Rhinolophus ferrumequinum: one gene and its partner. The protein of the gene in region 2 purifies or fractionates together with the protein of the main gene of each other region. This does not show direct contact. Links are inferred from orthologs where the notes say so. Each region holds a gene or a part of one and is shown on either strand. Other genes may lie near its edges.

Evidence for each region.
Region 1: the proteins of CSK (region 2) and TNS3 purify together in Homo sapiens (affinity purification with mass spectrometry; 4 studies listed by BioGRID and IntAct, with this or other methods). This does not show direct contact. The link is inferred for Rhinolophus ferrumequinum from reciprocal best matches to the Homo sapiens genes CSK and TNS3.

What each region holds. Positions count from the first base shown.
Region 1 is NC_046303.1:1,021,123-1,031,927, forward strand, and holds the start of TNS3 (tensin-3), read right to left. Parts: upstream 4,781-10,805; 5' UTR 4,769-4,780; coding exon 4,691-4,768; intron 1-4,690. UniProt on the Homo sapiens protein: May act as a protein phosphatase and/or a lipid phosphatase. Involved in the dissociation of the integrin-tensin-actin complex. EGF activates TNS4 and down-regulates TNS3 which results in capping the tail of ITGB1.
Region 2 is NC_046289.1:99,358,021-99,369,465, reverse strand, and holds the start of CSK (tyrosine-protein kinase CSK), read right to left. Parts: upstream 4,565-11,445; 5' UTR 4,310-4,564; intron 4,095-4,309; exon of another isoform or gene 3,537-4,094; intron 2,405-3,536; exon of another isoform or gene 2,381-2,404; intron 1-2,380. UniProt on the Homo sapiens protein: Non-receptor tyrosine-protein kinase that plays an important role in the regulation of cell growth, differentiation, migration and immune response.

The DNA of each region.
Region 1 (10,805 bases), on a different chromosome or scaffold from region 2:
TGGAGAATGTGAAACAAATGGTACAACTATGTTGGAAAACTGATAATTTCTTATAAATATTTTTAAATCTACACCAATGCTATGACCCAGCAATTCCACTGCTATGGACACTAGAAAGAAACAAATGCAAATGTCCACAAAAAGACATGCAAACAGTGGTCATAGCCACCTGATTTAAAAGTGTCCCAAACAAGAAGTAACCCAAACGTCATCAGAAGGAGCTCAGATAAGCCAGTCACTTATCTGGTCCAGGCTGCAGTGGAACAAGAGCAAACTACTAACACACAGCATCAGGGTGAACATCAAAAGCAATATTACGCAGCGTGAAAGAAGCCAGACAAAAGGGCACACAGTGAATGGTTCTATTTATAGGATGTTCATACACAGGCAAACTAGTCTATCTAGTTCCTCTGAGGCAGGAAAAAACGAGGTGAGCTCTACGATTGCCCCAGATTCCTGCATCGAGAAAGGTTCCAGGATGCAGGGAAGAAAGGGGAACCAGCAACTACGTGGGTCGAGGAGAAGGAGCTAAGAGTTCAGGCAGAACAAGACAGAATGCCAGAGAACAGAGAGCTGCACAGAACTCTCACAGTCTTCGTGAGGTACTCTGAAGCATTCAGCCGAGTACTGAGGAGCACATGCGTGTGTGCATGTGTGTGTGTGCATGCATGCATGTGTGCACACGCATGTATGAGGGAGCTACCCAAGGCTGGGGAAAGAATCACCAGAAAGGATGAGAGGAAACTGTGCTCAGTGTTCACACAGAGCTGGGAGTGGTGCCTGTTCCCACAACCAGACCAGAACACGTCAAGATTCACACAGTACTGTACAGAAAACATAGAAGGATCTGGCCTTAATGGTGGAGAATGATTAACTCTAGACTGGGCACTGCTCCTGTTCTGCCTACTTCATCTGAAAAGCAGCACCCAAAAGGATCAAACTACCTCTAAGTAACTTAATCGAATTTCAGATCAAGAATATCTGTAAGAGTGAAAAACACCCAGCACCCAATAAGGTAAAATGTGCAATGTCTGCTATGCAATCAAAAATTATCAGGCATGCAAAGCAACAGGAAAACACAGCCCAAGATGAGAATAATCAACCAAATGAATGTGACCCTGAACTGACAGAATCAGCACAGAAGCTATTAAAAGGCATTATAACTGTGTTCCGTATGTTCAAGAAGGTAAGTAGGGACCTTGATGGTATAAAAAGATCCAAATCAAATATCTATAAAAGAAAAATGTGAAAATCAGAGCTGAAAATACACTGGATGGGATTAAGGCGAGATTAGATGCTGCAGAAGGCAGAATGGAGAACTTGAAGAAATCTTAGTACAAACTTCCCAAATAAGCACAGAAAAGACAACCTAAGTAAGTGAATAAATAGATAAACAAACAGAGCATCAGCGCGACAGCGCTTTGGGACCACTTTAAGCAGCTTAATATGCATGTAATTGGAGTCTCTGAAAAGGCAGGGGAGGGGTGGGCATTCAAAGAAATAATGGCTGAAACTTTTCCAAAACATGAGGAAAACTATGAACCCATAGATCCAAGAAAGTCAACAAATCTAAAGTGTAAGTTTGGTGACACACAGTACACCAAGACACATGATAATCAAACTGCTCAAACCCAGTGACAAAGAAAAATCTTAAAAGCACCCAGATGGGGGAACAATAAACACATTATATACAGGGGACCAACCATTAGCAAAACAGCAGATCTGTCCATTTTTTAAAAAAGCGAGTGAGAAGAGTGTGGAGCAACATGAAGTACCAAAAGAAAAGCTGCCAACCTAGAATTCCATACCCAGCAATAAATCAAAGTGAATTCAAAACTCCTTAAGCTGTACCAATGCTTCAGCCATTCCAAGCTCACAGAGCATGCGTGGGACAGCCAGCCATCTTTCCCCTGCTAGTCAAGCTCTCTGGAATGCTGGCAACAGTTTTCTCTGGGGATCACTCCAATCCCCACCCCAGTCCTTAGCAGTCCGGCAGCACTCTGGGCACTTATCTCCTGGTGTTTGGGTTGATCTTGTCGAGATTATCAAATGAGAGAAAGTGTCCTGCACCAAGCAGAAGCCGTGTCACCACTTCTGCCACCCACAGTACAAGCTTTGTGACCCTGGCAAGTCACAACCTTTCTTGAAGAGGAAAGATACCCCCTGCCTCCTGCCTGTTAAAAGAGCTACTGTAAGTGACCAAGGGCTCACCCAGGTGCCGGCTGTGAGCACTGGAAGCCTATGGGAATTGCTATGGCAGAGTTTTTAAAACAGCTCTGCCTCAGCTTCACCCCAGACTAAGGAGGTGGGGCCAGAATGTGAATTCTTTGAAAGCTCCCAGAAACTCCACCGTGCACGTGGGACTGAGAGCCAGCACTACCCATGGACTAGACCCTGAAGATGTGTTCTACAGCCCGTAAGGCACTGTTACTCCATGTGTCTTCATATGTGTGTCTGGGTTTGTAAGAGGTTGAACACTTTCTGAGAACCTTCCTTCCATGGGGGAATGACAGTGCTGCCATCATGAAGTTCACGGCACTGGCAGGACCCTTCCGTGCCATAACCACGGTCGTCACTGTTCCAGCGATAGGGCTGTAGGATGCCAGACAGAGACCACACAGCCAGTGGGTAAGGGACATGGGCTCGGACTGGTGCCCAGCCCAGCCTCATGCTCAGACAGGAGGAAGCATTCACGCATGTGACAAACACAGCCCTCCTTCATAATCCCAGTTTGGCACATCCATTCCTCCCACCCCCCCAAGTTTCAGTTCTTTGTTTCTATGCCTTTGGTCCTGTGCTTCACTGTCATTTCCTAGACGCAGGACGACGGGCTCTTATCCTTTGTCCTGCGAGCCCTGCATGGCACCTGCAGACACTGAACTGTGGACCCTCCATTAATATTTGTTGACCAAATGAATTGGCCAGTCTGTGGGCCAAGGAGGAAACACTGTGACCTTTTATTCCTTACAAATACCTTTATTCCAACCAGGGAGAAAGAGCCACTGTGTTCCTGAGGTTTTTTTCGTGGCCGCTGGGCCACAGCTGGGAGAGGAAGAAGGAAACAGCAGAGGTGCTGTTGGGAGGCTGGACCCATTTCAGTGGCTGGATGCCTGAGGATTCATTTCAGATAGTGTAATGACATCTGCTGACATGGCATCTGCACAAGGAGCCCAAAGGCGGATTAGACAGCCTTTGTTCTCACCTGAGAGGTGCTTTCATTTCTCCCAAAGAGGTGGGGCCCAGGAGCACAGGGGGAGGGGAGGCCTCGGTACTGCAGTATTGAGCAGGCTCAGTTCAGGAATCTAAATGGCATTCAATTGTTTGGAGCAGGCGGTTGGGAAGGGAGAGGGCAAGGCTAGGGGTTCCACCCTGAGGGGTGCTTGGTGGTCAGCGCTGGTCTTGACTGTGAGTTTTTTTAGAAAGAAAAATCTGAACATTTGGGGAAGGAAGTGCACCCCTGAGTGCAGAAGGGGAGCCACACCCCCCACCCCACTCTGCTCTGTGGTGAGGCAGAGCTTCCCAGACCTCCCTCCCAGGGGCTCCCACACAAAGCTACACCAGCAAAACCCAAGTTCTGTCTTCCTCTCAGGAAAGAAGATCCAGGGTGCATTTGGGGACCTGAAGAAACCTCAGCAGTCCAGGAAGGCAGACAGTGAAAACACAAATCGGCTGGATTCCGAAGTTAAAGGGCCACGAAACTTCCCACAGGGACAGTGTGTGCCCCAAACTGGGGGGTGACTGACCCTTCCTGGAGATGTGTCCATCCACTGGCAGCCACAGGACCCAGGACCCTCCCCACACCACACCTCGTCCTCAAGCTTCCCAGCAAGACCCTCTGGCTGGTGAGTTGAAAATGAGGACACTACACAACTCAGAAGGAGGGAAAGGAGCTGACATGTTGACAACCTCTCACTCCTCAGAACATTACCAAAGTTTCCAGGAAACTGAATGTCACCAAGGCCCAACTATTGAACTCAAAGAAAGGGCTGCGGGTCCGGTGGGAGGTGGCGGGGAGCCCCTCCCACATTCGCTCTGTTTAAATCAAGCCTCTGGAGGCCCCACCGTGGACCAGGGTCTCGGATGCAGCCGCCAGGAACTTGTACTACTGCAACAGGCCAGCGCATCCCAGCGTCTGCACAGAGCTGAGTGCCCTTTCCTTTGCAAGACAACACGGGCTGCGCTGGGAGTCTGCGTAATGGCCCATGTCCTACTTCCATTCCCTGAATGGAGTCCAAGGAAGCCTGTTCAAGAGGTGGTTGGATTAGAAAGTTAATCCTGAACTGTCTCCCACTCTGTGGCCTCAGCCGGGCGCCCGCCTCCCACCAGGCAAGGCCCGCTTTCCATCTCTCCTCCTCTCCTGCGCCCACACGCAAGGGTACACAAGCGCACACGCTGGGGCACAGACAAGGACACACGCGCACCCGTGGACATATGAGCACACTTGGGCACGCGCACCAAGGGCACAAGCGTGAACGTGCACACGCAGACAAGGGTGCACGGGCACAGGTACAGACTTGCACAGAGCGTGCACGGCCGCGAGTATGAGCGCACACGGGACGCGCGGGCTACAGCCCGAAAGCATTCATTTCTGAGCGCCCCGCACCCTGGCGCCCCCTCATCCCAGCGCCCTGCAACCCCCGCGCCCCCAGCGACCGGGTTCCCCGGCTCCCAGCGTCCTGCACCCACTCACTTGGCGCCGGTGCCGGCGCGCCCGGGCCCCGCGCGCGCATCCTCCAGGCGGCCCCCGAGTCAGGGCGCGCAGCCGCATGGCGGCTCCCGGCGCCGGGGAAGAGCCCAGCCGGGCCAAGTGAGGACGTCGGCGGGCGCCAACTCTCCGGGCGGCGGCGGTGCCCCACAGGGGTGCCTTCTGGGCCGCTGCGTCTGGGAGTCCCAGGAAAATTTCGACGCCCGGAGGCCCGAAAGGACACGGCCGCCACCTCCACTTCCACTCCGCACTCAGAAGTCAGACGCAGGGAACAAAAGCCAGGCGAGCAAGCGCACGGTCCCCCGGCGCCCCTCCATCTGACACGAATTAGCCCTCCCTCCCCCACCTCAGACCGCAGCTCCAGAAAGGAGGCGAAGGCTTCTCAGCCAAACCCAGGGAGAGTGGAGCAGAAACGCCCCCGGGGCAGGCGTGGGGGGCGAGGCTTCTGCCGCCTCCGACTGGATTACCTTCGCCTTCGGCTAGGGTGCCGCCCGACTAGGATTTCAGAGCTCTCCAGTAACTCTGACCAAGGTGCAAAATCAAAACCCGCAGGCGCTTTGGCTTCAGGGCTTGAAGTCTTGAATGCGTCTAGTCACCTAGTGCTCGGGTAATGGCCAGTATCGCTAGTAATTCCTGCTGCCTTCCAACCGTGGGTTTAGTGGGAAGAAGGAAAAGCGTCAGGCAGAAAGAAAGGCTTTCTTTCCGATTTGCCTCTTCAACTAAGAAAAACAAGGAGCAGCCTTGCTCCAGAGGGATGAGGTAGGGATTCCCCCGCTGAAAGCAAGTGATGAGGAGCCTTCCTCTGGGGCAGGGCCCCCGGCCTCCTGCCCCCCACCATCCCTGTGCCACCCAGCTCCCCACATCACATCCGATTTCCAGTCCCAGTTTGCTCATGGGGGCTGCGGTTTCAGAAGGAAATGTGAAGCCTGGAGTTTGGGAGGTGAAGGTGGGCTGTACGGTGGGGACAGGGTGTCACAGGAAGAAGGCAGACACCTGGAGAGGGGAAAGGCAGCGGGGAAGGGAGGGAGGGCTTCTCCATGGCCTGCCAGACCCCGCAGGATGGAGTCCTCGTGGGCTGTCCACACGAGCAGTGGGGCTTAATTCCACCAGGAGCTCCCGCATCTGTGGATGGAAGAGACAGGAAGGCCACCTTGGCCATGGCCCTGTCCTGCTGGGGCCACCTCCTCCCTCCAGTGGGGCACGGAGGAGGCCCCTGCACGGGAGCAGATGGCGCTGGGGAACCCTCTGGCCTCAGGCTGGCCCCCCCGTGTACCCCCAGCAGTGGCCCCAGTGACCTGACCTGACCTGCCCGGAGGCCCAGCCGTGTGTGGTTCTAGTGACCTGCGATGCGTCCACAGCTCAGAGCTGTGTTGGTCTAACGCCCGATTTCAGATCCTCCCCTCTGCTCGCAACTCCCAATGCCTTAGCTCTGCAGTCGTCTGGGTGGGCTGGACCAGGGCCTTCATGGTTAACACATGTGCGAATTCCAGCCCAGCCGAGGACTCCGGCTGGTTAACCTCTCAGGCTCTGGCGCTGAATATCCATCCGCCTTTCCGTTTCTGCAGTGGAACAGGAGAGCTGCTCTCCGACCTTCAACCACGAGAAGGCCAGGAGGGTGCCATTCTGGGTTCCGACTCCTGGCCCAGCAGACATCCAGCCCTACTCATTGCCCCCGTCGTCATTATTCACATTTTCAGACTTTCTTTTCTGCAGACACAGCCCTCTCCCCCGTGACTGCAGGAGCCTGAGCACACCCGGCCGCATTCATGTCTGCTTCCCCAGCACCTAACACAGGCTGGGCACGGACCAGTACACACACTGTACTGTCCAGTGCTGTCCAGGGCGGTGCAAACGCCTGGCCCAGAAGCCACGGGGTGCAGCACTGCCTCACCCACGGACTGGCAGAGGGACCCTGATCCCAGCAGACAGCAGGTGACCCCTAACATGGTAAAGCTCCCGTGGACCTGAGGACCAGGCTCTCTGGGGGTACCCCAGCCTCTGGAAATGTTCGTGCTGAATGCCAGTGCTCACGGCCAGGCCTGCACGATTGGAAAACAATGGTGGTTCTTCTCCTGGGGACTCCCTAGGTCTCCTACTTATTTGAAAGGTACACCATTCAGAAAACTCCCACACTTTACTACATGCATGTGATACACCCCAAGGGGTTGCCACAAGTAGTCAGCAATCAGGACGTGGTCTCTGCCCCGAAGCCCAAGCTACTTCCCCAAATGCAAAACTGGGAGCCTGCAGTGATTCCCCACTGTGCTAGCGGCCCCCCCTCCCCGGCCCTGCTTACACCTCAGCTCTGTGTCCTGGAGATTGCTGGCCCCACTCTGGCGTCTCCTTTTCCCTTTCTGACTGAAAACTGCCGCCTTTCTGGGCTCAGCTGCAGACCCGCCTCCTGCCCCACCTCCCTGACCAGTTAAATGCCCCCGACCCCACGGACCTCATCCTTGGGGCATAGCCCTGGAGTGTGGTCATCTGTCTTGTGCCTCCAGGCTGCAATCCTAACCTTTGTCTGGGGTTTTCCACACACAAAACAGAGCGGGAGCAATAAATGCTGGGGTAGGAAGGAAACAGTCGGCTTTGCTCCCTGTCCTTGCCGTCAATGTCAGTGTTTCACCCGACCCCCTCAGAAGCAAGCGGAAGCAGAAGGGTTTGGGGTCAGCTCAGTCTGGGGACCCTGGGGACCAGAAACCAGGGCAGGACTGGAGCCCACTCATCCAGGCGCAAACAACCCTGGCCTCGCCCGACTCACCCTGCCACTGGGCTGCCCCTCGTAAGGCTGCAGCCCTCCATGCTCCTCTCGGACCCAACGCCCAGCTGGGGCTGCTCGCTGCACTGAGTGCCCAGAACCAAAGCGAGGTTCTGCCTGCAGAAGACGGACTTCAGAGCACTGGGGACCAGACTGCAAGGACAAGCCCCAGCTCAGGGCCTTGGGCTGCATCACCCACCTGGGGCTGGACACCCAGGCTGCACTGCGGGCAGGAGCCCTTGGATGAGGCCGGCTCTGCCACGGATACAAGGATGGCTGGTGACGGCCGCTGAGAGCGATACTACTGGATTAGAAACCACTGGGTACAGTAGTAATCCATGAGGCCATGGGTCCTACTGACAGAAATCAGGAAACGCAGTGAAGGTCTGAGGAGAAACAGACGTCGGCGTGGCCTCAGGGCGCCTCCCACCCTGGGGACAGAGAGGATGGTGGCAGAAGGCTCAGCAGTAAGTGGGGCTGAGGAAGGGGAAAGGTTTTAGTCCCCACTTGTCCTGGGACCTCACCGAGGAGAGCCACAGTCTACCATCTGTCACTGTCACTCTGGAGAAGCTCTGCACAGTCTCCATTCCCCTTCCCTTTATTGTAAAAGGGGAACAGTAAGTCTACAACAGAACAGGCCCCCCACGCCTCCTCAGTCCTGGCCTTGCCAGGATGCCAGGGCAGTGACAGCACAACTCTCCTGCCAATGTTCCTGCTCGGGGACAATACCTGAGCAGGCCCTGCACGCGGACCTCAGGGGCGCCCACGCCCGCTGGCCCTGCCCCAGCTCCCAGCCTGGGGTCTGCGCTGGGGTCACCAAACATTCTGGGCACGCCAATGTCTGCACCCTCCAGTCCTGGCACACGCAGCATCTGTCACAGGCCAGTACACTCCTCCGTGCTGTGACCTGGAGAGGCAAGGAGTCCCCACCAGACACCTAAAGCATCTTAGAAGCAGGTTGCCTCTGACAACGAAGAAGACCCTTCGGTTTACAGAGCTCCTGCCCAGACAGCTGTCTGGGGCCTGCTCTCGTGCCCCCAGCTCTGAGTTGGCCCTCCCTCCCCGTCTAGCGGTGCTGGTGGCGGGCACACCTGGGCCATCTTGGGCGCAGACCTCGGGCAAATCCTGGCTCTCAGGACATCCCTCACCCTCCTCCCCTGCTCAGCAGGCGTCAGCTCCCCACTACCACCCAGGCGCACAGGCCACTTTCTAATACTTCCTGATGGGGAACATTGAACACAGGGGAAACCAAGGCCCGGGGCGCCTAGGGGTGAGTGGGGGGCCTGGGAGACGGAGAGTCAGGGAGCACAGGCATGTCACCTAACCCAGCACCCCCTCGGGACCACGGGGGCCACCTCGCAGGGTGTATTAGGACCAGGGCTGTAAGGCCTTGCCCCCTCAGCTTCCGTCTTTCACAGCCACTGCTTCTCCAAGTCCCAGCAGGTGCTCAAAGACGTGGTGAACGCAGGAGCACCTGGCCCCAAGGGGGTCTTTTAGTCCCATCAACATAACCCACATGTCTTGGTCGGTGGCTACAGAATTCAGGGCAACCCCCAGCCTGAGCTCCCAGCACCCTCCCACAGCTCATGGCTCCTTTTAAGGAACAAAGTGGTAACTTCTGACATACTTAGCAGAAGGTTTTTTGCCGATGCTCGGAAAATAGGCATTTCACGCCTCTTTCCTTTCCTCTGCAAAAAGTACAGAAAAAATGCTTTCCTGACAAAATCAGCTTCCAATATGTGTTTTCCCTGCTTCCTTGCTCAAGAAAAAGCAACTGTTTTGTTCAAGAACTTGCAGAGCAAAGCAAAAGAAAGGGTTAAAGGGCCACCTCCCGACCCCCAGGCAGTGTCATCCCCTTTCCAGACTTGGGGTCTACCCCACTTTCCTCCTCTGTCTCCTGGCCACCCAGGGGGAGAAGTAAGGAAATGATGGGAACTGAGCTGCGAGAGAAGCATCTTTGGGCCCTCACCTGCCCCGTGGGGGAGGCTGGGGTGCAGCAAGAGAGGGTGAGGGCAGGGAGGAAGGGCTGTAGTGTGCGGGCTTCTGCCTGAGTGGACATCAAGGCCTGAAACCTCCGAGGTAAAAGGACCCCCCACAGCCTCTCACACCCCATGTTCCTGCCTGCTGCCCCCTCACAGACACAGAGCAGGGTTCCTTGGGGTAAGAAGGGCCCCAAACCCTTGGCCTCACCCTCCCGTGGGGAAAAGGGGTGGAGAGGCAACAATACATATCAGACTAGTAAACGGAAACAAGGTTTTTCTCTGCACGCCGATGTGACCCAGGGAGGGGCCTGCAAGCGTGGGGGGCCCTCGGCCAGTCTTCCTACCTCTTACACTCAGACACCGGCCAGACGGCTCACAGCCGACCGTCCTCCGGTCCGTTCTCAGACCTCCAGGGCTCCTGAGCGCCAAGCCAACCGCCAGTGATAAACCTGGAGGCGCCTGGGGGCTCTGCACCAGCACTGAACTCCAAGCACAACCCCCGAATCAGACGGTGAGACCCACAGTGCGGGAACAGGTTCTGCTGCTCTGGGCACCAGGAGACCTGAAGTGGAGAGGGGAGCGTCCACTTCCCGCTGGGTGCCGAAGGAAATGGACACGGCTGCTGGGACTCACCTGGCCCCCAACTCTCCCCACTGAGACCAATTGAGCTATTTCAGGTGGGTTTTATGTAACACAAGGGAAAATCTGCATCGTTGTCCATGCCTGGTGACGGGCTTCAAAATGCCCGCATGGGCCAGCTGTCGCCACACACCCCAGCCCGAAATCCCGTTCCCTGCAGACAAGCAGAGGGTCAGGGAAGTCAGCCTGCTTGGTAACGCTCCATGGCCACAGCTGAGGGTGGCCACGGTGGGTGGCCCCAAAGCCACGCCGTTCCCCCAGGTGGGGGTGAGGACACGGCGCACGCCTGCCTGGCCATCACCTGGAGCGTCCCTTCCCCAGGCCCTGTACACCCCCTGCCCAGGGGGAGGACGAATGGAGACAGGTGAGGCTGACAGAGCCCTGAGTCACCCAGCCTCGGCTCAAAACCCCCTGAATTAACCCTAGTCCTTCCACTCCCGAGTTCTCCAGACCCAGGGTCTGGCTGGGACAAACCGGGTGACAGCGGGCCCACCTCTGGAACTCTGTGCGGAGATTCTGCCTCTGAGAACCCAGACCACCCTCCATGTCCCACCTGGAACAAACCGTTCTCAGCCCACAGCCTTTGGGGGGCACCAGACGCCTGGAAGTCTTCAAAATCTCCCCTGGGGCCTCTGGTCTGCAGCTGGTTTAAGAAGCACAGGGCACGGAGACTTGGGGACCAAGCACATGGCCTGACACATCACCCCCCAGGAGGCGGGACCGA
Region 2 (11,445 bases):
TGGGCCACCTAGGGGAGGACCCTCTGCCTGGGGTAGTCCTGGTCCATCCTAGGGTCATCTGGGGCGATGGTCTCCCAGGCTCAGGGGTGCCATGCTGAGACTGGTTTCCTCCTCCCGTCCAAGGGGGTGGTCCCAGGAGGGCACTCCCAGTTCTCTGGTCTCCAGATAAGCAGAACAAGAGAAAGCATGCAATGTCACGGGAATGCACACTCAGGTTAGATGGGGAACACCTTCCAAGGAGGAGGACGCTGACACACAAGACTTCCCCAGGGATCTGTTGGCCACCTAGGTCCTCTTCAACTCCCAGCCGGGGGAGCCCTAAAATCCCTGCCTGCCCCAGCTTCCTCCCTGCCCCGGGCCCTGGGAAAGGGTGCGGAGACGAGGCTGGCTGAGGGTCAGAATGCCTGGGTTCCCTGCCCAAGTCTCAGTTTTCCCAGGGAAAGTAGGCCTCTATGTCCACTGGGGAAATGAGGGGCCTGCCGAGGAAGTAGCCAAAGCTGGGGGACGGGAGGCAGCTGGGCTCTCAGAGCAGAGGCCTTGTTCACTCAGCTCGGATGCCGGGAGAAGAGAAGGAAGGGTAGGGTCAGGTCCCAGAAACCGACCAGTAACCCATCTTCTCAGGGCCAGGCCGTGATCTGGGCCGGCCAATCACAGGGTGACAGGAAGGGGGCAGGCAGGAAGGCGGGACGGGCACTAGCCAGAGCAGTCCAGAGCCTCAGGGCCAGAGGGTTTTAAAAGGGCCCCGGGCCACAGAGCAGCCCTTGGCTGGTGAGCCACCAGCCACCTCTGGCCCAGCGTCTTCTCCACAGACTGTGGTGGGCACTCCATCAACAATGCCCCCTCCCCCGCCCCGACAAAGTGCCTGTGACGGCCAGGGGCTGTGCCAGGCACTTTCTAGCACCTTGGAGTGTTCACACTGCCCGCACATTTCCCTCTGGAGCAGGGACACTGTCCCCGGTGTGTACATAAAGGAACCCTGTCTCAAACGGTGACCTGTCCAAGGTCCCTCCTCCCGGGCCTAAGTGGCATGGCTGGGCCTGGAAACCAGGTTGGATGGTTGTCAAGTTGCCTGCTCTCTCCGATACTCCTGGTCACTATGGGGGCCTGTAGCAACCACCACCCCAACAACAGTCAGGAAACAACAGTGCATACGCTTAGTAAGAGGGTCTGGGTAGGGTTGCTGTGGCAGCTATTTGGAAAATTCTACACCTTTCCGGAGGCAAAGTTACACAGACCATGTAGCAGCATGAGAAAATGCCCACAGACACAGTATTAAATGAAAAAAGTCATGGCATGTACACTGAAATGACAATAGCGACGAAGGAATAAAAACCCAGGAAAGACTGGCAGGGAACTCCAAAATGCTAGTCACTGTGCCAGGGAAGAAACAGTGGGTGATTTTTGTTTTGTTTTCTACATTTCCTGTAGTGCTTTGTTACTTTCTAAATTAAGAAACTAATACATACATAATTTTCTCGCAATGAGCGCAGACTCACTTCCCTGGGCCCCGCCTGCCCCCAGCTCTGGCCCTGGTGTCTGGGACAGCTTCTACCATGGCAAAGCCCCTCAGACACGTGAGGGTCTCTCCCTACCTTCTCTTTTCCGTACCAAATACCTCTGCTCTTTGGAGATTATGTGTCAAGGCTTTGAAATTCCTCAAAAGATGGAGGCCAGAACTGGGCCCAGGCTGCCCTGCCCACTCAGGCCACCTGGCGGCTTGCTGGGGCAGCTAACCGTGGCTCCTGGGCCTCAACCCCCGCCTGTATGCTCTGTAGTGTCTCACCGTCTTGGGGCCCAGTGTCCCCTGCAGTGGTGCTGGGGACTGTTTTCTGGTCCTTCCTTGCCCCCGATCCAACAAAAAGAAAAGCAGTCACTTCTGAGAGGGAGGAAGGCACCTAGCTCGCCAGGTAGGAAAACACATCCCTGCACATGTGCCAGCCTGCAGCCAGACCCCGGTCTACAAAGGCCGCGGGACCCCAGCCACCCGGGTACAGCTCAACCATGTCAGGCCTCAGCCCCAACCCCAGGCTGGAAAGGAAGTTAGGGCTGGGTGAGGGGAGCCTCACAGGCCGACCTCATCTGGGTCCTCTCCACTGTGCATGTCAGGGAGACTTGGGAAAAAACTTCTAATCAAGGGCAGAGCCTGAGCAGGGCCCCAGACATGGCTCGGTGTCCTCCAGGGAAACTCCCACCCTTCCAGGAACAAGAGGATTCTGCCACACTCCCAATCTCCCTCCTGCTGCCTTCACCCTGGGGTCCCATCAAGAAAGACGCTGAGATCCCCATGGTGTGGGGAGCTGGGAACAGGCCCCTGGGTATCCCCTGAAAATGCTCCTATGCCAAGGCTGTGGGGCGTTCCCTGTGGAAACAGGGTTCTCACCTTCCCCATGTGGATCCCATTCACGCTCTGAATTTGGCTGTTCCTATGCCATCTGGGCCAAAGGTGTGGGAGGGCAGGGTCACGACTGAATACCAGGCTGTCTCAGCTCAGTGCCAGGGCCACACCAGACAGGTGTCCCCACATCCTCACCAGTGGGACCCAGCCTCAGGCACCGGGGGTAACCCCAGGGGCAGTGCAGATGCCTGAGCCCATACGCAGGCAGAGCTGGGGCCGGAAGTCCTCTGCCTCCTCTACAGCCCTCTGTAGGGGAGCACATGCTCACCCCACAGGGTCCCTTGGGCCAGGATGGGGGCCTGTGTCCCTGGTCAGTGAAGGTGCCTGCCTGGCTGCCCTCTACCTACAGCAGTCCAGCTCTGTAGAGCGGGGGATGGATGGATAGACAGCATAGCTCTGCCAGAAGCCTGGGGGAGCAACTTCCCCCTTTGAGCCTCAGTTCCCTGGTCTACTAGGAGGGGAGAGGAAAGGAACCCCTAGTTAAGTTCCAAGGATCTGGTGGCTGGACACGCCCCTTCCTGACACCTGGCCTGGGCCCTGAGGAGCCTGGGAGAATGGGCTGACCAGGCTGCCAGGCGGTGGGGGCATGGTCCTAATGCCCAGTGTCACCTCTACCCAGGACAGTGGCCCTGCCAAGTTTCCCCACCCAAAGGTCAGAGGTTCCTTGGCTTAAGCCTGGTTTTCTGTGAGGCAGAGGGTGACAAGCTCAATCTCTGGGCCCTGGGATTCCTAGAGCAGGCAGGGCCTCTGTTGGGAAGCGAGGGAGGGGTCATAACCAGGCAGACCAGGGAACCTGCAGGGAGGCCCTGGGTAGGGAATGGCAAACTGCCCATTCTCCAGGGCTCTGGCCCAGGCTGACCCCTTCCCTCCCGGCTACAGCCAGACCCCACACGGGGGAAACAGGGGGACAGACTCGGCTGGCCTGAGCGAAGTCTGTGGGGGCTCATAGGGCAATACTTCCCTCCTGTGCTCCCCTCCCAGTCGGGCTGACAGTGACTCCCGGGAGAATTCGAAACCGGGAAGGAGGGGGTAAGGGAGGTGGGGGATGGGAGTGGACGCGACGGCAGCTGCAACAGCAGTAACAGAAGCGGGACGTGAGACCGCCACCCTCCTCCCTCGGGAAATACTCAAACGCACTCACCTTTCAGGGCACTGCGGTCCGGGCCACCTCGCTTTGGGCAGCATTAGCGGCCTGCGGGACGGTCCATGCCGCCAGGGGAGAGGGGAGGGGCGCAGGGGTCCCCGGAGGATGCGGTACAAAGAGGTAGGAGTGCGGAGAGAGGGTAAGGAGGGACGGCCAGACGGACGCAGGGGGCAGCCGCGCGGCCAGGGTCGGGGAGGGAAGAAAGGCGGGGGAAGGAGGGCGAGAGGGAATCGGGGAGGAAACAATGTAGCCGGCGCGGCCCCGGCAGAGTTCCGTTTCCGAACGCCGCCACCAAGGTTTGATTTTGGAACGTCGCGCCGGCTGCCGGGGGCCGCCCAGGACGCGGGGGGCTCCCCGCGCTCCACGCCCCGGAGGCTCCGGCGGCCACAGGCTGGCTGGGGCGGGAGGGACCGCTGGCTGGCGGGACGGTCCCGACGGCGGCGAGGCCGGAGGGTCGCCCCACTCGGACCCCACCCCGGCAGGACCCCCGACAGGGTGCGGGGTGGGGCGGGAACGGGAGGGCGGCGGCGGGCTCGGCGGCGGCGGCCAAGCTCAGCTCGCCCGGGGCTCTGCTGGGAGGAAGCTCACAGGCCTGGCGAGAGGAAGCGCCGCCCGGATCCTCCGCCCGCGGCAGCGCGCCTGCGCGAGGGGGCCTGCCAGGCGTGCGGCGGGGCGTGGGCCAGTGGGGCGTGGGCCGGCGGAGGCGGCGCCCCCTGCCGGGCGCCGGGGGCACTACGGGGGGTGTGTCCGCGCCCACGCCCTGCCCCCACCTGCAGGCCTGCGATGGAGGCTCCCGAAGGTCCCGCGCCGTGGGCCGACCAGCCCGCCTTGGAGCCACCAGCAGCCTTCCCGGGGCGCAGCTCCCCTGCTGTAGAAGCGATTGAGGCCGGGCCTGGGCCCTTCTCCTTGAATCTGTTTGTGAAGAGTGGGCCTCACTCGCAGCAGGAAGCATTCATTCATTCATTTATTCTCAGACGATTAATGGCGCTGACGATGAGACGGGCCCGGTTCCGGAGTCTACTAGTAGGACCACTACATTACTGTCAAGGTGTTCTCGGCACTACTGACCGGCCAACAGACAAGCTCAAAGAAATAACTGATAATGGTGTACAAGGTCCACAGGAAGCGGAAAAGGGGGAGACGAATGGGGAGATTTCATGGAGCTGGGACCCTAGGCAGGGGGAACAGCATGGACCGCGGCAGGGAGAGATGAGAGAGCTTGATGGCTCTGGAACCTGGAAATAGCGCAGTATGACAGTGTAGGTCCAGGAGAGTGGGAGGAGATGACGTCCCCGGAAGACCAGGGACTAGAGAGATCCAAAGAGCCTTGTGGGACTTTCTTAGACTTTGTTTTCAGCCTGGAGGCAATGGGGATGTTGTCAACAGCTACGTGACTTTGGGAAAGTTAATAACCTCTCTGGGCTTTAGTTTCCCCATTTGATAAAATGGGGGAAATAATAGCACCAACTTCTTAAGGTTTTGTAGGACAGGAAATGAGTTAATACATTTAAAGTGCTTAGTGAGCAGGGGCTGGCACATGGTCAGCCTTCAGTCAAGTCTCGTGTGTTGTTATATATCATTATTAACAAGGAGCAGGGAGGAGATCTACTTTGAGCTACAGGAGCAGACAGTGGGTGTGGGTGGGGGGTTAGAGAGTGGGGTCGGTGACGGGGAGAGACCAGAGACTCCGGTGCAGATAGGACATGTGGAGGCGTTTCCTAGGGACTGGGCCGTGAAGGAAGAGTCAGGATTGTGTGGGCACAGAGGAGGGACGTTCTCCGGTAGGGAAATGAGGTGTACTGACAAAGTCTTGAAATTCACAATAAGCGAGGGGCTGAGGGAGTGAGGTGGACAGTAAAGGGCTCTGTGGGAGAGTGAGCTGGGGAGACTGTGGCAGCAGATTGCGAAGAGCCTTACATACCAGGAGCAGGAGTTGGGTGTGCCTTCACCCAAACCACAGGTGACCTTCTGACCCAATGCACCCCTGGCCAGCTTGCCACTAAGGCTCCAGCCCTTTAAGGAGGGGAGTGGTAGTCACACCCCTAGCCTTTGAGGAGCTATCCAGTAAGTTTCAGAGATACTGTGGTGGAAAAAAGCACGAATTTAAGGTTCAAATCTTAAATCTCAGCGGGGCCATTTACTAGCTGTGTGACCTTGGGTTAGTTACTTAAGGTCTCGGAGCTCAGTTTCCTCTTCTGTAAGATCAAGCTCAAAATACATCTCTCTTATGAGAGATGGTACAGATTCAGCAAGATAACGGCTTTGGGGGAGGGCGGAGGGGGTGCTTAGCTCAGTTGGTTTCCCTTTCTTTCCGATGAGGTCAAGATGGAATGATAAAGTGGGACCGGATGGGGCCACCTCTTAGCCTAAAGGGAAGCATTTCAGCAGCTCTGCAAAGCCTTCCGAAGGGAGAAGTTGACATCTCCCCTACCCTGGCTGAGTCAGCTTGCAAAATGGGAAAGGGCTGTGGGGACGTGGGGAAAAGGCTCTAATCCCTGGCCCAGTTTTGTTACCTACCCATCTTCCCTTAACCCCAAGTACATTTGACATTTTCCCTGGGTGTATGTGGCCCAGAGTGTGAACTTTGGAGTCAAACAGACTTGCATTTGAATCCTGACTCCACCTCTTCACAGCAGAGTGAAATAAATTTTTTAACTTCCCTGAACCATAGGCACAGGGGACAAATCAATAAAGGGCCCTGCCCCCACAGAACTCTCCTCTAGTGGAAGAGCCAAGTAACTTCCAACCTTCTTCATTCATTTATTCATTCATTCACTCATTCAACAAATACTTATTGAGCACCTACTAAGTGCTAGGCATTGTTCTGGATGCTGGAGATGAAGGAGTGAGCAAAGAGTAAGCAGGGGTCTTGTCCAAGAGGATAAATCAATAAACAGGGCAATTAGACACTGTGGTATGAAGGTGATGAGTGCCTGATGGAGGACAGCAGACCAGGAGTCAGGTACAGGTGGCTCAGCAGCTTGAGGGACAAGATCAGCAAGCGGGGGAGAGCAGTGTGAGGAAGGGGCCAGGTCCTGGAGGGCACTGTGGACCAAGGCTTTTGTTACATGAGTTTGGGTTTTGTTACATGAGCAATGGGGAGCTGTTGAAGGATTTTAAGCAGAGGAGTGACATGATTGAGTGAAGGACAGGAGACCAGGACGATGCTTTGCATGGTCCTGCCAGTGGTGACAGGAGTGAGCTCTGATGGACAAAGGAGAGCCATGTGACAGCTCTTGATGAAGGGCTGTTTGTGGGGAGTGAGGCCACAGGAGAAAGCAGGCCTGGTCCTCAGGTGTGGCTGGAGCAATCGAGGAAACTGGTACTGTTTCCTGAGGTGGGAGGGCCTGGGGGAGGGGCAGGCTGGGAGTAACGCTCAGGAGCTGGATTTTGGACAAACTGAGTTGAAGACACCTGTGAGACATGGAGATGTCAGGCCAGGATTTGGAGCCACCTTTTACACACCAAGGCTCAGAACAGGAAAAAACTTTCTCCGAGTCCACTCCCAGGCCTGGGCTTCAGGTCTGAGGACCTCCAAAGCTTCCCCATGCAATGGACTTTAGGAAAGGAAATCATTAGAGCAGGAATAATGATTCCTCCAAATCATTAGGATTTGGGAGGAATTGATGAGGAGCCCCGTCCCAGCCAGGTAGGCACAAGCACTAGCTTTCCCAGGCTGGGCTACCTGTCCCTGGCGTGACGGAAAGGAGAAAAGAGGAGATGCTGGAGACCCCGGATGTAGGGAATGGAGCTCAGAACTTTGGGCTGCATTTTGATAAGATCCAACTGGGCTAGCTCGATGCAAAGTTAGGTTGGTCATTGATGGCCAGAGGTCCGGAGCTTAAACACCTTCATGGGTGGGCTGCACTCTGCTCTCAGGGTCTCCTGGGAAGGGAAGGGCCTCTTCTCAGCCACCCTAGCTCCTCCCCTCCCCCAGCCTCTTTGCTTTGAGATGACAGTTTAGAGAAGCTGGTGTGAAATAGTTTGAAACTCAGTCCCGTCTGGGCGTCCCCCAGGGCAGAAAACAGGAAGCCAAGATTAAAGGCAGATTTCCAGCAAAGTCCCCTCGACTTCCTGCAGAGCAGGTGCCCAGGCTGAGCTGATGTGAGCAGCTTCCCTTGCTGACAACACCTGGGGTGCCCTGCATGGCTGGCCCTCCTGCTTTGGGAGCTGTTCTTTGGCCCTGTCATCACCGTCACACCCCGGAACTCTGCCAGGCCTTTGGGGAATGAGCCTCCTCCAGAAAAAGACTGGAAGGTGGAAGGAGCCGTCACTGGGAAAGAGGGCTGGTGTTGGCACTGACAGGACACAGCACTGGGGATATCTGGGGGGCAGGGAGACCAAGCAGGAAGGGCATGAGTTTGAGGTCACTCAGGCCCAGTGTGAATGCCGCTTCCCTGCTGCAGGGTCTCACTGACCTGTGGGGATGGGTCAAGGGGTGAAGAAGTGCGAAGGGGGGCTTAAGGAAGGTGGTCAGGGAGACCAGACCAGTGCTAGAGCTGAGGTCCCTAAGGAAGGCCAGAAGCCAGGAGACAGCAAGTGCCCAGAGGGGCCCCTGCTCTCTGAACACCAGGGGCTGCTTGGCTGGATGACCAAGCTGATATCTACACCTGCTAAAGGCTCAGCAGCTGTGGAATCGACAGGGGGCCAGGTGGGCCTCCCATGTGACCTCTCTCCCTTCCTGATCCGCAGGAGAACAGGCTTCCATGAGCTGCACTAAGTCAAGAAGCTGTGCTCGCCTCCTGCAGAGGCAAAGCAAAGCCTCAGCCTGCATTCTCCTCAAGGAGCCTGAGCTCCCAAACGCACAAAGCTCTCCTTGGGAGTAAGCATTGCCCATCTGAATCTAGGGGCATCACACGTTGAAAACCTCTCTCCTTGGGCTGGCTGAGTTTATCATGAGGACAGTGCGTTGGCATAAGAGACCGAAGTTCGAGGGACCGAAATCGCTTCTGCCTTTGGGCAAGTCCTCCCTGTTCACGCCTTAGTTTCCCCATCTGTGCACCAAAGGGTTGCATTTAGTGTTCTCCTGCAGCTCTGACTCCGTAGGGATGGTGGCTGCCAACTGTCTCCAACTTCTGTCCCCCTGGGACCAGGGAACTACCATTTAATGAGCACCTACTATGTGCCAGGTACTTTATTATTATTACTGATGATGATAGCTAATATTTACCGAGTACTTACTAGGCACAAGCATTTTTTTTTTTTAATGTCAAATGAAAGTCTGTTCTCTTTGTTGCACCAATTTGCTCCAAGGGTATTTCCTAGGAAAGTTAGTCTCTGTTTCCCATATGATGGTGGCAGAAGTCTTGGTGGTGGTGGGTTGGTGGCTTCGGGGCTTTAGAGGTGGTGACCCAACTGAGAGGCCATTGGGAGCTGGAGGACCCCACTTCTGTGGCCCGAGGCAGCATGCACATAGGGCCTCCCCAACCACACCATGGGCGTTAACTAGCTGGTCCTCTGCTCCGAAGGGCAAGGGTCCTGGGCTCCCTGATTTGCAATCTCCCCAGAGTGGGCAGATCCAGAGGCAGGTCCACAACATGAATTGGTCAAGGTACCTGGGATCCCTGCAACCTTTCTTGGTGCTTCCCTCATGGCACATATTTCTTTCCTCCTGCTTAGTTCCTGTCTTGGTCAATGTTCTGTCTGGGGGGAGTACAGATGGTCACCAAGGCGATGAGTTCCCAGGAGGGATGTGCAGCTGTGATGTGCGTACAGGACACTGGAGCCGCCTCCCAAGAGCTCAGACCCTGCAGGAGAAGAGATGTCTGCGAGGCAGGCCGAGGGGACAATGGGAGCAGAGGCTCTGGAGCTGGAAGGGGTTGAGCTTTGGGAGAAGGGGAAAGAGGCCAGGATGGGGTGAGGTGCAGGGCACGAGGGAGCAGAGGCCGAGTGGCCAGAGCCTGCAGGGCCACCTGTGGACCACGGAGTCTTTGGATCCCCTCCTCAGGGCAGAGGGACCCTGCTATTAGAGGGCTTACCACAGCCTCGACTGTACATTTGCATTTTTAAAAGATCCTTCCTGCTTCTGGGTGGAGAATTGACTGGCTTTTTGTCTTCCAGGAAGCTGCAGTGACACTTCCCAAATCTCAAGGCTAGGCTACCCCCTTCTCTCTCCTGTTCCCCTCATGGCCCACTTCTCAGCATTGTAGCACTGACTTTCCCCTGGGTGCGGGTTTCCGGATCTGTAGTTGGAGGCTGGAACCCGCTGGAACCCGCTTCTCAGATGTTGGTTGAATGAATGAGTGAATTTCTTCCTTTCTTTTGTTTTTTAATGGGGAATATTGGGGAACAGTGCATTTCTCCAGGATGTCAAGCTGCTGTTGTTTTTTGTTTTTGTTTTTCTCAACCTAGTGGGGAGCACAGCTCAGCTCCAAGTCAAGTCACCACCTTCAATCTAGTTGTGGAGGGCGCAGCTCACTGGCCCATGTGGGAATCGAACCGGTGACCCTGATGTTATGAGTACCGTGCTCTAAACACTGAGCCAACTGGTCGCCCACCGTTGGCTCAGCTCCAAGCTCAAGTCTTTGTTTTCAATCTAGTTGTGAAGGGCGCAGTTCACTGGCTCATGTGGGAATTGAACCGGCAACCGCGCTGTCAAGAGCATGTGCTCCAGTCAACTGAGCCATCTGGCCACCCATGAATTTCAGTTAGTAATAGTAGTAATAGTAATAATAATAATAACAGGTAACATTAACTAATACCAGGCTTATCACGTGCCAGACACTATCCTAAACACTTTACATGTCTTAATTGCCATTTAATCTTTGCAATATATTTGTGAGGTAAGTATCATTTCATTCTGCCGCTAAGGAAACTGAAGAGGGAATCCCTGGGAACTCAGCCATCGGATCCTAGGAAGGAAAGGAAGGACCCAGGATGCCCTCGCATCATTCTCACCCAATTTATCCTAATAGCTTCTGGGTTAGAGTCTTGGACTCACGCCTGCCCAGCTGTGTGACCTTAAGCAAAAGGCACTTAACCTTCCTGAGCCTCAGTTTAATCATCTCTAAAATGGGAGTGAGAGGCCAACCTCACAGGGTACTTATGATGCTAAGATGAGATGAAGTATGAATTGCAGGCACAGTGCTTTGGCTCAAGGCACCTTTCACTCACCGGCAGTTAGATGAATATTTTTTCTCTGACTCCTGAAGCAGGCTGTGTAGTCCTGGTTCTCCCCTGCTGTCCTCTATGAATTCAAGTCCAGCTCCCTGAGGCTTTTGTCTGTTCCTGAGCTGACAGTTTCACAATGGCTGATGAATTGAAGCCCTCCATCATCCATTCACCCAATACTGAGGGCGTGTTGACTACTTCCCAGGGACCAGGGGCCACTGGGGTTGGGCAGGTCCAGAAGCTTCCTTGGCTCTCCCCTGGAGTCCTGGGCTTGCAAAACCTCTTACAGTTTAGGGCTTTCCCGTCAGAGCTGCCCAGAGACCTTCACCTGCCAGCTCTCAGCTCTGAGCTGGACCAACCTCCACCCAGAAGTCCCCAGGCTCTGCTTTGCGGATTGGGAGCCCCAGTCGGTCCTGTTCTGGCTTCTTCGTGGGAACTGTTTAGGGGAAAGCAAGAAAAGGGTCCTGGCGTTCTCCGTTGTGCAAAGGTTGGAAACTTGGCCTAGGGTGAGGTGACAGAGCACCAGGAGCAGGAACCAGAGGTTGCCGGGCTTGTGCGTCAGGCCAAGCTTTTGCAAATCACATGCAAATCCTGTTGTCCAGGTGTTATCCTGTGAATAAGCCTGGTGCTAACATCTGTCCCTGTCCGATCAGGGCCGCTTTCAAAAGTCCCTTCCCTTGGTTGAGAGTGGGGTAGGGCTGGATAGGAAGGGGACCCTTCCTGAGCCAAAAGGAGCTCCAGAAGCCACCTGTGCGTCAGGTATGGGGCCTGGAGTGCCCTTTTTCAGTGGGCTCCA